3 linked regions of the Caenorhabditis elegans genome follow. The protein of the gene in region 3 purifies or fractionates together with the protein of the main gene of each other region. This does not show direct contact. Each region holds a gene or a part of one and is shown on either strand. Other genes may lie near its edges.

Evidence for each region.
Region 1: the proteins of gtnt-44 (region 3) and C04G6.11 fractionate together in Caenorhabditis elegans (co-fractionation; one large-scale study listed by BioGRID). This does not show direct contact.
Region 2: the proteins of gtnt-44 (region 3) and noca-1 fractionate together in Caenorhabditis elegans (co-fractionation; one large-scale study listed by BioGRID). This does not show direct contact.

The regions. Positions count from the first base shown.
Region 1 is NC_003280.10:5,102,733-5,105,580, forward strand, and holds C04G6.11 (uncharacterized protein), read right to left. Parts: upstream 1,103-2,848; coding exon 1,058-1,102; intron 1,003-1,057; coding exon 937-1,002; intron 894-936; coding exon 609-893; downstream 1-608. Other genes in the region: mpk-2 (Mitogen-activated protein kinase), read left to right, coding at 1,732-1,830, 1,908-2,039, 2,096-2,377, 2,679-2,837.
Region 2 is NC_003283.11:13,150,797-13,154,556, reverse strand, and holds the start of noca-1 (Non-centrosomal microtubule array protein 1), read right to left. Parts: upstream 1,639-3,760; 5' UTR 1,638-1,638; coding exon 1,470-1,637; intron 1,426-1,469; coding exon 1,287-1,425; intron 1,245-1,286; coding exon 1,069-1,244; intron 938-1,068; coding exon 857-937; intron 809-856; coding exon 711-808; intron 666-710; coding exon 577-665; coding exon of another isoform or gene 533-576; intron 1-532. Other genes in the region: dhc-3 (Dynein Heavy Chain), read right to left, coding at 2,091-2,291, 2,341-2,472, 2,522-2,654, 2,698-2,867, 3,157-3,615, 3,686-3,760. UniProt on the Caenorhabditis elegans protein: Plays a role in the assembly of microtubule arrays in the germline acting redundantly with ptrn-1 to control circumferential microtubule assembly along the body which is necessary for larval development, viability, and morphology and integrity of the epidermis.
Region 3 is NC_003282.8:9,962,119-9,965,878, reverse strand, and holds the start of gtnt-44 (Glycosyltransferase family 92 protein), read right to left. Parts: upstream 1,635-3,760; 5' UTR 1,576-1,634; coding exon 1,180-1,575; intron 404-1,179; coding exon 299-403; intron 257-298; coding exon 169-256; intron 120-168; coding exon 1-119.

The sequences.
Region 1 (2,848 bases), on a different chromosome or scaffold from region 3:
AGTTGTCTGACCTTTCGCTCCTCTCAACCGAAATTTGTTAACAAGAGACAAAGATAAAGAGAGATGCATAGTGGGAGAGTTGATACGTAGAAATTTTTGCGCAAAAATTGACAAAGAAAAGATCAAGAGTAGTTCATGTCTACACACTTTTTCCTTGGTTTAATATTTTAAACTTTCAATCACTTTGTTTTAAAAATATTTAGAAACAGACTTGCACAATTTTGTAACAGGTGTTTCAAATAATTAACAAGATAACTACTTAATTAAAAAAAAACACGAAAGAATTTGAATTAGATTGAGAAATTTTAATGTGAAAGAGGAATAGCCGAACATTAAATAAAAGACTATATTATTATTAAAGACAATAACTTTTGCCTTCAAGTTGTTGAAAATTTCCCAGAAAGAATACTGTAACTTAACAAAGAAGACGTAGGTTTAGGACAGAAAAGTAATTTTCATAGCTCTCAAATAATTAACACATTTTTCCTTTTTAATTCCTAAAATCTTTTTAATGCTAAAAAATCTCCAACTTTTATGATCGGTTTGAATAAATGAGTCACAGTGTAAATCATCCGAAATCTACATCTTCATCATCGCCTACCATTCATTCATTTTCCAACAGTAAGATAGAAGAGATAGAGGAAAAAGATAGAAGATGATAGAAAAAATGGTAAAAGACAGAAAAAAAAAACGAAAAACTTGATTGAAAGAAGACGTCTTCTTGATTTCTTCAGACAGTCTCTTTCATTTCTAACACTCTCTTCATCACTTCCTATCTCTCTTTTTCTTCCTCTATTTTTTTCACTGATCTTATCGATTTCCTTCGCTAATTGTGGATAAATATTATTCTTTCCTGAATATCTAAGATTTTTCGATTCAGTTTTTCGTGAGAGCTAAAATTTTGAAACTTTTTAAAACTATCAGTTATACAGTTACTTTTTGAAGGAATTTGAAAATCAGAATACGGATTGAAAAAAGTTGTTTTTCAAATTCTTGAAACGTCTGAAAAATCTTATTTCGAGTTGATTTTAATTTATCTTGCTAAAAATCAAAAAACCGCACATAAAACACACTTCAAGTTGACTGATAATTCACTTTTCATAATTGTCACCTACAAATTCCTTTGACCCATTTAATAATCGTCTTTAAAATTTTTAATCAGTGCAATGACATCATTTTTTGTCATCTGAAAAGTTTAAGCAAAAAAATGAAGATGAAGTACTTCCACTGAAATTGAAATAAGCTAACTCCAGTATAATATAAATTTTATTCAGTTTTTTTATTTGAAGCTGAACAATTTTTCAATTATTTTTTCTCAGTTTTAATTTGCCTACTTCTGTGTATATTTTAAAAACCACATCACAAAATATGTTTTTTTTTTTCAGAAAAAAAACAGGACATCCTCCTGCTTCCCTCCACCCCCAACTCTCGTTTTTTCTCAATCTGATAACGTGAGAGAGAGAGGAGCCGAAAGGGAAAAAATGGTGATAAGACGTACTGTTGAAGCTTTATCGTCATCAACCCGTCATTTCTGAAAACGTATGCACCTTTTTTCCTATTTTCGACGTGCTTTGTGCGAATTAGCACGAAACATTCTTGAAATTTTCATATCAAAAACAAATATTTGATAACCTTGTAATTGACATGCCACACCTTTTTTCTGTTCATATAAAACTAAGGATTAGAGGGTACAAAATATAATTTTAAACTTCTTTTTTTTTCAAAATTAAAATGAGTGCGAGAACTACGCTCTATAGAGCACCTAATTATTATTCCACCAATATTATAGAGCACAAAACATATTCAATTTCTAAAAACACTGTCAATAAGGTAATAGTATTTTCCCACACAACATATTTATTCGTGGATTATGATAGAAATTGTTTAATTAAAAATCAATATTTCAGAGTAAAATGGCGGCTCCTGCAGAGTCACATGCTCGATTAGACGGTCGGTTTTGGTTAGAAGGAACACCGTATTTGGCAGAGGAAAATGTTGGAGCAGGTGCTTATGGTGTGGTTTGCAAAGCAATGGATACGGTATGTTCCTTTAAACTTTGAAAAACAATTAAAAACTTGTGAAAAATCAATTACAGAGAAATAAGAAACAAGTGGCAATCAAGAAAATCCCACGAGCCTTCACTGCACACACTTTGGCCAAACGATCATTGAGAGAAGTTCGAATTCTTCGTGAGCTGCTCCATGAGAACATCATCGCTGTGTTAGACATGTTCACTGCAGAGGGCGCTCATGGAAAGGACATTTATCTAGTTATGGATCTCATGGAAACTGATCTTCATCAGATTCTCCACTCAAGACAGACTCTCATGGAACAACATTTTCAATACTTTTTCTATCAATTACTTCGAGGATTGAAGGTAAATTTTTATGAATTAAAAACTGGAAATTAAGAAAAAAAAGCAAAACAGCCTCAGTAAATTGTGAACCATAATCCACACTATCCTTCAGAGTGGTGCATGGAAACTTTCCTCCTCGACTGCGAGCGGGTTGAACTAACGCACTCAATTCGTAGAGCGCGCACGCTAACCACTCGGCCACACATGTCAGAGAACCTGTGAGAAAAAAGGGTGTAGATGAAAAAGCGAGAGTATGAAGTGAAGAGATTGTGTAGCATAGCGCAGATGGCAGTTGCTGTGCAAAATAAAAGTTTACTTTCAGTACCTTCACTCTGCTGGAATTATTCATAGAGACTTAAAACCATCAAATCTACTTTTAAATGGAGATTGTCTACTGAGAATCGCCGATTTTGGCATGGCAAGAGCTTATGCTTCTGCGAGTACAGTAAGAGATGACGCTAATGTTGGAGGACATATGACAGTAAGCTAACT
Region 2 (3,760 bases), on a different chromosome or scaffold from region 3:
AGGAAGGTTTGCAAATTGAAAAATGCAAGAAATTGAAGAAGACAATAGAAACATTGAGACGAGGAAAGGTGAGATCTATGAGTTTATAGGAGGTCCGTGAGCACAGAAAGGAGGAGCAGACAACTCGAGTGACCGGGACAATAGACTGACAAGCTCTGATAAATGACCACGACAGCCGATGAATCGAGAAATGACCAGCAGATATTAAGAGATAGAAGAATCTACGACGTTCCCTTCTGAGATAAAAGTGCATAAACACACACCTGACGTCGATGGGGCTAGATGTAAATTTAATAGAAACATAAGCCTCGAAAACAATGGTAAGCAATACACAGCAGTTAAAAAGAGTTGGACAATTGCATATCGCATAAAAATACAAAATATAAAGAGGTCAACCCCGATTATCCAATAGTACAGATTACGATACATGTAGAGTGGCTACTTTTGCCCACTTCCCCCAACCTCAACCCATTATTAACATTTGTCAACACTTTAAGCTTCCCGTTTTCGGTGCGTCTTAATCAAATAAACATCATGCATAAGGAACACATAATGTTAGTACAAAGGAAAACCTACAACGATCTTGATGTATTTTATCAACTTCCAAGCATAGTCTCTCCGGTGCGACAAATGTAGAATTTCCGTTGAAAGCGACTCGGTTCCTTCTAAAAATGAAATTAAATTATCAGAACTTATTGAAAGAGTTTTACTTTTTTGGAATCGGGCGAAGGGACCCTCCTAGTATTGGTGTAAGCCGTCCTTTCAGTTGATTATTCGTTGCAGATTTTGATGAACGGACACGGATACTCTGTAAATTTTAAACTAAAAAAAATGATTTAATCATTTTGATGCTTACGTCAATCCGGATACTGTCGTCATTGTTGGAAGATGATGAAGGACTGAGAGTTGAATCGTTGGAGCGGTATTCATGAGCTTTCTGAAATTTTCTCTTGAAGAACTCCATTATTTGTTCGAATTTCATTACGACGAGTAGATTGAAAACGAGAAATGATTCGTTTTTTATCGATTAAATCTACACGCCGACGTTTTAAATTACAACGTGCATACCTTACGTGCCTTCACGGAGAACAAAGGAGAATTTTCGTGATTGAAAGGTTCAAAAATTGCACTTCTTGGAATGTGTTCAACTACAGGAATAGGCGTTTCTGTTAAGTTATCCTCGGTTTCTTCTGGAATAGGAGAAGGCGTTATTAAGTTAACGCTTCGACGACGACCAGTGTCACCTTAAATGGAACATTAAAAATGAACGATTAGCTCCAACTTACTGAGAACATCGTCATCTTCTTTCACTTCTCGTGTACCAAAATCAATCGGTGTAGCTCGATTTTGAGATGCAGCGGCTTCAAATGAGACGTCGGAGAGGGGAAGTGAAATAAACTGTGAAGTGTTCAGATGAGCTTCTTCCTGAAAAATAATATTTTAAATGAGAAAATAATTGGCATTATAACCGGAATAGCAACACTCTGATTTAGAGATTCGTCTGCAGCGCCTTCAGAGGAAGATCCCGGTGAATTTTGAGGAGATCTGTTCGAACATTCTGCGGTTCCAGCAGTTATTGCAAGCTTATTTTTATCTTTTTTGTGCATGCAAGTCAAAGCCAATAGTTGTTTGAGCATTCTGAAAATATAGAAACTTGTTAAACATATTAGTTGCGGAACGTAAAAAGAAAAACACGATTTTGTTAAGAACGAGAAACGATTTTTTTTGAAACTAAAAAAATAATGCAAGCGCGCTCTAACGGACACGTCAATTGCGCGGGGCAGTAAATTTTAAAGTGAGACAAGACAAAGACGAGCAACAAGTTTTCGGAGATAAAATGAGTTTTCTTTTTTATTTTCTGTTTTACAAAGTTTGTATTTTATAAAAAATCAGTGCCGTACGAAACGAAAAAGATAATGCAAAAGAAAAACAACGTTTATATTCAAATATGTTGAAGAGCGGCATTTACGTGGCGAGACCAAACGCCCGACTACGGTAGCTGTAATATTTACGGAGAAAAAATAATCATGTTTTGGAAAAAAAACACTTTTAATATTACAAAAGAACCACGAATTCATTCTTTATAAAATTCAAATCTGTCTGGAAGTTGTTACAAATGCGCCACGAAGATGCCAATGAGCTATTGGAAATTGTGAATGAAATGGTATTTGAGTCACTGCGTTCTGTGAAAATGGACAAATAACTGGCAAGCTTCTTGGGTTCCCTGCTCCGGTTCTTTTTGTGGTCTTCAGAAGTACAGTTGTATATTGGGCTTGACGATTTTGAGGTTCCTGAAAATTAAATTAATTGCTCTAGTCTTGTTTAAGTAGTTCTATGTACTCGAATTTCTCCATTCACAAAATGAGCTGAAATCAGAACGCAATGCGACATTTTCAGCAAAGGAACGTCGGAATCTGATCCTAGTTTGGGAAGATCATAGTGTTCATTCACAAATTCGCCGGTCACCATCACCTGGAAATATTAATGGATATTAGAAAATCTAAGCAGAAAATCGGCTCACTTCTGAAATTCCAATCTTATATTTCAAACAAAATTGCATTTTCAAAAAAGAAACAATTTCGGTGAGATTGTTTATTTTTCTTCCATCAACTTCTCGTTCGCCATTTTCCACATCTAATAGCCAACTTCTTGATCTTAAAATCTAAATTTTAAAGCGGAATTATTCATGTTACCAACTCAATCTTCTTAGCGATTTGCTGAGTTGCTCCAATATTCGGCTCAAAAAGTATTTTTATTTTTTGTGTTACTTTCTTGTACATCAGTTCACGACATTCTCTAGAGTTTCGAGCATTGAATCCACAAAGGATACTTTCTTCATGAGATTGCATGAAATGCGCGAAATCTTCCTGAAATAATTTTTATAAAATACTGATGTTTAGGGTATTTATTTCATGCCTATCCACATGCCTATAGGCATTGTAACTACCTATAGGTCTCGAGACTCAAAGGAACCGAAATTTTATTTTGTACTAAGTTATTGGGCTATATAGGCCACCAGTATGCACGTGTATCGTTCGTGCGGGTACGAGGCAGGCACAAACGTCTTCTTACAATTAGTTAGTCCTGCATCGTATACCGAAAACACTTTTTTGCGTGTAAGCCTTAGATAAAGGTTCTAAAAAAGTTTGAACTTACAAAGTTATGATTATCTTCTTTAATGATAGTTTTCAAAAGAGTATCTGCTGGAATTGATAAATTAGCTTCAACAATCCATTGAATCATCGCGCTGATTATATTCTTTTGAACCTGGCATCTTGTTTTTGGGAAGTATATTGGTTCAATAACGTTTACTTTAACTTTCATTAAATCTTGAAATTCATTCGGCTGATCACTCAAATTTCTCAATTCTTGATACAGCTTCATCATTGCCAATAGATCCGCATCATCAACTACTACATTGAATTCTGGATCATAAAGCCGTCGTAACTTTAACCCTCGATGAAATGAAATCAATCGTATTATTTGAATTCTTTGACTTTCTTCTGATTTGTCCAAAGAACTTCTCAATGATAAATTTGCAAGAATTCTACGAATCTGCTGTGCCAATGAAGTCGAACGGGAAAAATAAAAGCGGTGGGATGAGATTTCGATAAGCTGGAAAAAAGTAGATTCAGAAAAGTAAAGTTATTCTGGATTATATGTAGAACAAAATAATACGGTGTACCTCATCAGAAGCTGAAATCTCGTCGGAATATGCAACAATAATTCTAAATGAAGAATGAACAATCGGCAAATTCTT
Region 3 (3,760 bases):
TGCAGTTAACCTGACATGTCCCGTTTTTTCAAATACACGTAGAAACTTGTAAAGCTCTCCAGTAAGCTCTTCATATGGTATACTAACAAATGATCCCATTGATATGGATGATGTTAAAGCTATAAAAATTAAATGTTTTAAAAAAGAAACCAAATTAATTTGTTAAACCTGTTAAAACCATCTCAAAATCTCCATAAATTGGACTGAAACAACTAACAATGTCGCGAAAATCGGAGTATGGTTCTTGAAGTGGTAACTACAAGAAAAAATGGATTGGGGATTTCTGATTTGAACTTACTTCTAAATATGGATGTCCTGTGTGATCTCGTAAAAGCAATGACTTTGGATGTTCTGCATTCACAGTTAAAGACTGGGGTTTTTCCTTTTCAATTGATGACCAAATCTTAACATTTAGTTTTCACATTATGAATCTCCCACAATAATTAATTAAGCCTTAAGATTACCAATTGTACTTTACAAACGAGGGAATGGAAACGTTGGAAAATACTTTGAATAGGATTTGCCCAAGCTTTGATCCAGCTTTTGCTTATGTCTTTTCATATATGAAAATTAAAACAGGAAAATGTTTGCTCAGTCTTGGTTGTTAAATAATGGAAAAAATAGGTGAAAAATGGAAAAATGGAATGGAAAATAGATGACTAATCTTACTTTAGAATTGGAATAACTATATGCTTGCCCAAAACATTTTCAAACATTACCAAATTCTGAGCATAGTTTATAGTTTTGTGCCAAAATGTGAAAAGACGTTGCCAACAAAGGCCTAGTAGTTTTAAAGCACGCTAATTGTTTGAAGATAGTTTTTTTTTGCTAATTTAATAGCGAGAAAATCTTATAAAACAAGTTGAATTAATCCAAATTATTGATTTAAAAATTAGATATTAATTTGATGCATAAAAGGGATTTGTTAAAAAAACACTCCAATCGTGCCAAAATGAGAAAACATCCTAATAAAAGTTTTCGACAATTTTTGGGAACTTTTTTGACAGTCAAAATGTGGGTGGTAATTACTGAAGTACTGTCGCATTTCGAATCTCTACAATGTTTGAATATTAATATTTGAAATACAAGATAACTAGATACTCTGATGTAAGCCCGGCCCAATTATCAATTTTTCAACACTTCATATCAAGTTTTTTTGAAAAAAAATCCTAAACTTACTGAAATTTGTGAGTTATCAACAAATCCGGGTGGTGGTTTAAGCTCAATTTGAGTTTCATTTCTTGATGTTTTTGAGTCATTTGGACCAAATCCAAGGAATATTTCCCGTCGACGAATTGAAGAATCAAATAGAAAGATTAATGACAGTTCGTTTGAATTTGAATCATAAATTGCTGATGTAACTTGAACATTTTCAGGTTTTCCACCATAACGTTCGTGATAAAATATAGTGAAAACAAAGAAATAAAAAATAATAACGCATAGAAAATAGTTAAGTGTATGAAGTGGAATTGAGAAGCATTTTTCGTGATATCGAATATTTTGATGCCGTGGTAATTTTTCGAATGGGCTCTGAGAAGGTGGCATTGATGATGATGATGACGTGGCAGAAAACATTTTGAATTGAGATTTAGTGAACAAGAAGAGTGAGTGAGAGAGGGAGAGATGGTAAGGATGCAAAGAAATGTACGGAAAATTAGACAAAAGATGAAACTGAAGATAAAAATGAGGAAGATGCCGAAGTCGAATCTAGGTGTCTTTGGAGGTATCTAGAACAGAAATCTGTAATTCAGTGGGAGACTTGAGGAATTTCAAGTTTTTAAAAAAATTGGAAACCAATGTATCAGAATCTCTCATAGCGGGGAAAATGTGTATTTTTGTTTAAAATATAGTATCTGATACTGTTTCAAACTCATGTAGTACTTGCAATAAATATGGCATACAATTTATGTTTAAACGAGGTTATAAAGTTCTAAACATGTGGCCGCTGTATTAACAACAGATTTAAAATGCAACATGTTCCTTCAACAGAATAATACCAAAACAAATTGAAAAACATATTAATAAGATAATAAATTTCACTCTGGCTAAAATATTTGATAATTAGGTAAAAAAACCGAAAATAATCAGATGGAATTATCGACAAAAAACGCCGAACTTTGTTAATTTTTTTAGTATTTTCAGAAAAAAACTCAAAGTGAGAACGGAATAAAGAAAACAACTGTTTATAAATATAAAAAAACGGGTCCTCAAGTATCAGCATTTTTATAATTAATTATGAAGGTTTTTAGGCATGTTTTGAATGAATGACTCATCAAGGCCACTTTTTATTTTGCGATATAAATTTCCTAAGAAAAAAGCCATGTGATTAATAATGTTATGATATAAAATCAAATAGTGTCATTCTTCAATATTGGAACAGTTTTTGGAATACCTCCGAGTTAGGAATGTCTTTGTCTGTTCACTTTGTCAAAATGACCTTCTATTCTGGCCCCTATTCTTTTCTTCACCCAACTTCCGTTTGAAGTTATCTAGGTGTTCAAAGATTTTGTTCGTTTCCTACATGAGATGTAAAACACTATATTATGCTGTTTTACTTTATCCTTCAAATTTTAGTTTTATTTTGATGTAATCTTATACGTTTTTCTTCCAGATGTTTGACATTTGAACTTGAAACCAGTAAATCCCAACTATCATAATGTAAAATCTTCAAGAATCCTGAACTTTTCTCCATTAGTATTATTGTAGTTTTGATAGTCAACGATATTTATACCAGTTTTCCTCCGTTCCATTTCATCACGTCATTTCCATTATCTCCCACTTGTTTCTTTCATTGTCTCTTCAAATCAAACACTATTTGAAATTGGGTGCTACCATTCCACCCACCCACGATCAAAAATACCTCAAAAAAAGTTTCTGTGCGTACGGAATAAAAACAAATAAAAATTGTTCCCACCGAGATGAGTCAAGTGAGCCTGAGACCATCGTTCTGTTGTTTTTTGGGACAAAGCCGGTTCGAACCAAAACTCATCGCATATCGTATTTCAATTCCCCGTTTCGGATCGTTGATCCCCTAATTTTTATGACGTGTGCTCTTCCTACAGTCTTCTGCTCAAACGCTTGATTTTTTGATTTTCTAGTGAAACCAGAAATTAGGGTCTCCATGAGTTATAACTCTTGAAATTTATGCAACATGTAATTTTCTCGTCAAAAACTACCAAGAGCCGTATTCATAAAATATCAAAAAAAAAAACTTCGATAATTTATTTTCATATTTATTACTTTCAAATGAGAGTTGTTCGGCAAGCCTGCAGAGCTTTTGCCGAGTTCCCAAAATGTTAAAATAGTTTTCCTATCAAAAATGTTTCGGTTTCAGTTTAAGACTTTAAGAAAAATACCATAAAGTTGTTATTTTTAAAAAATTTTCAGAGAAAACTACACGCTCGGAACGTTTACATTACCTTTATTGTAAAAGAAAAACGTAGGAGTTTAAAACACCACTGAATCGATGAAGATGAGTATTTATTTTTTGTAATTTTGAACTGAAAAAAATAAAGTTTTGGTCAAAGACACAAGGGAATCAGAAATGAATCTTCCAGGCGGTACCAATTATAGAGACTAATTATTTTTCCAGTATTCACATATCAGTATATTCAATAAACTTTACTCTTTATTTCAATTGATTGTTGTTTTTGCTCTCAATGGTTTCCTTTCACTTGGCTTGTCTTCTCAACACAATGTTCATTGTTTATTTGTTTGCGAAACTTTTAAACCAAAGCTTGCAACGAAAAGTGGAAAAAAG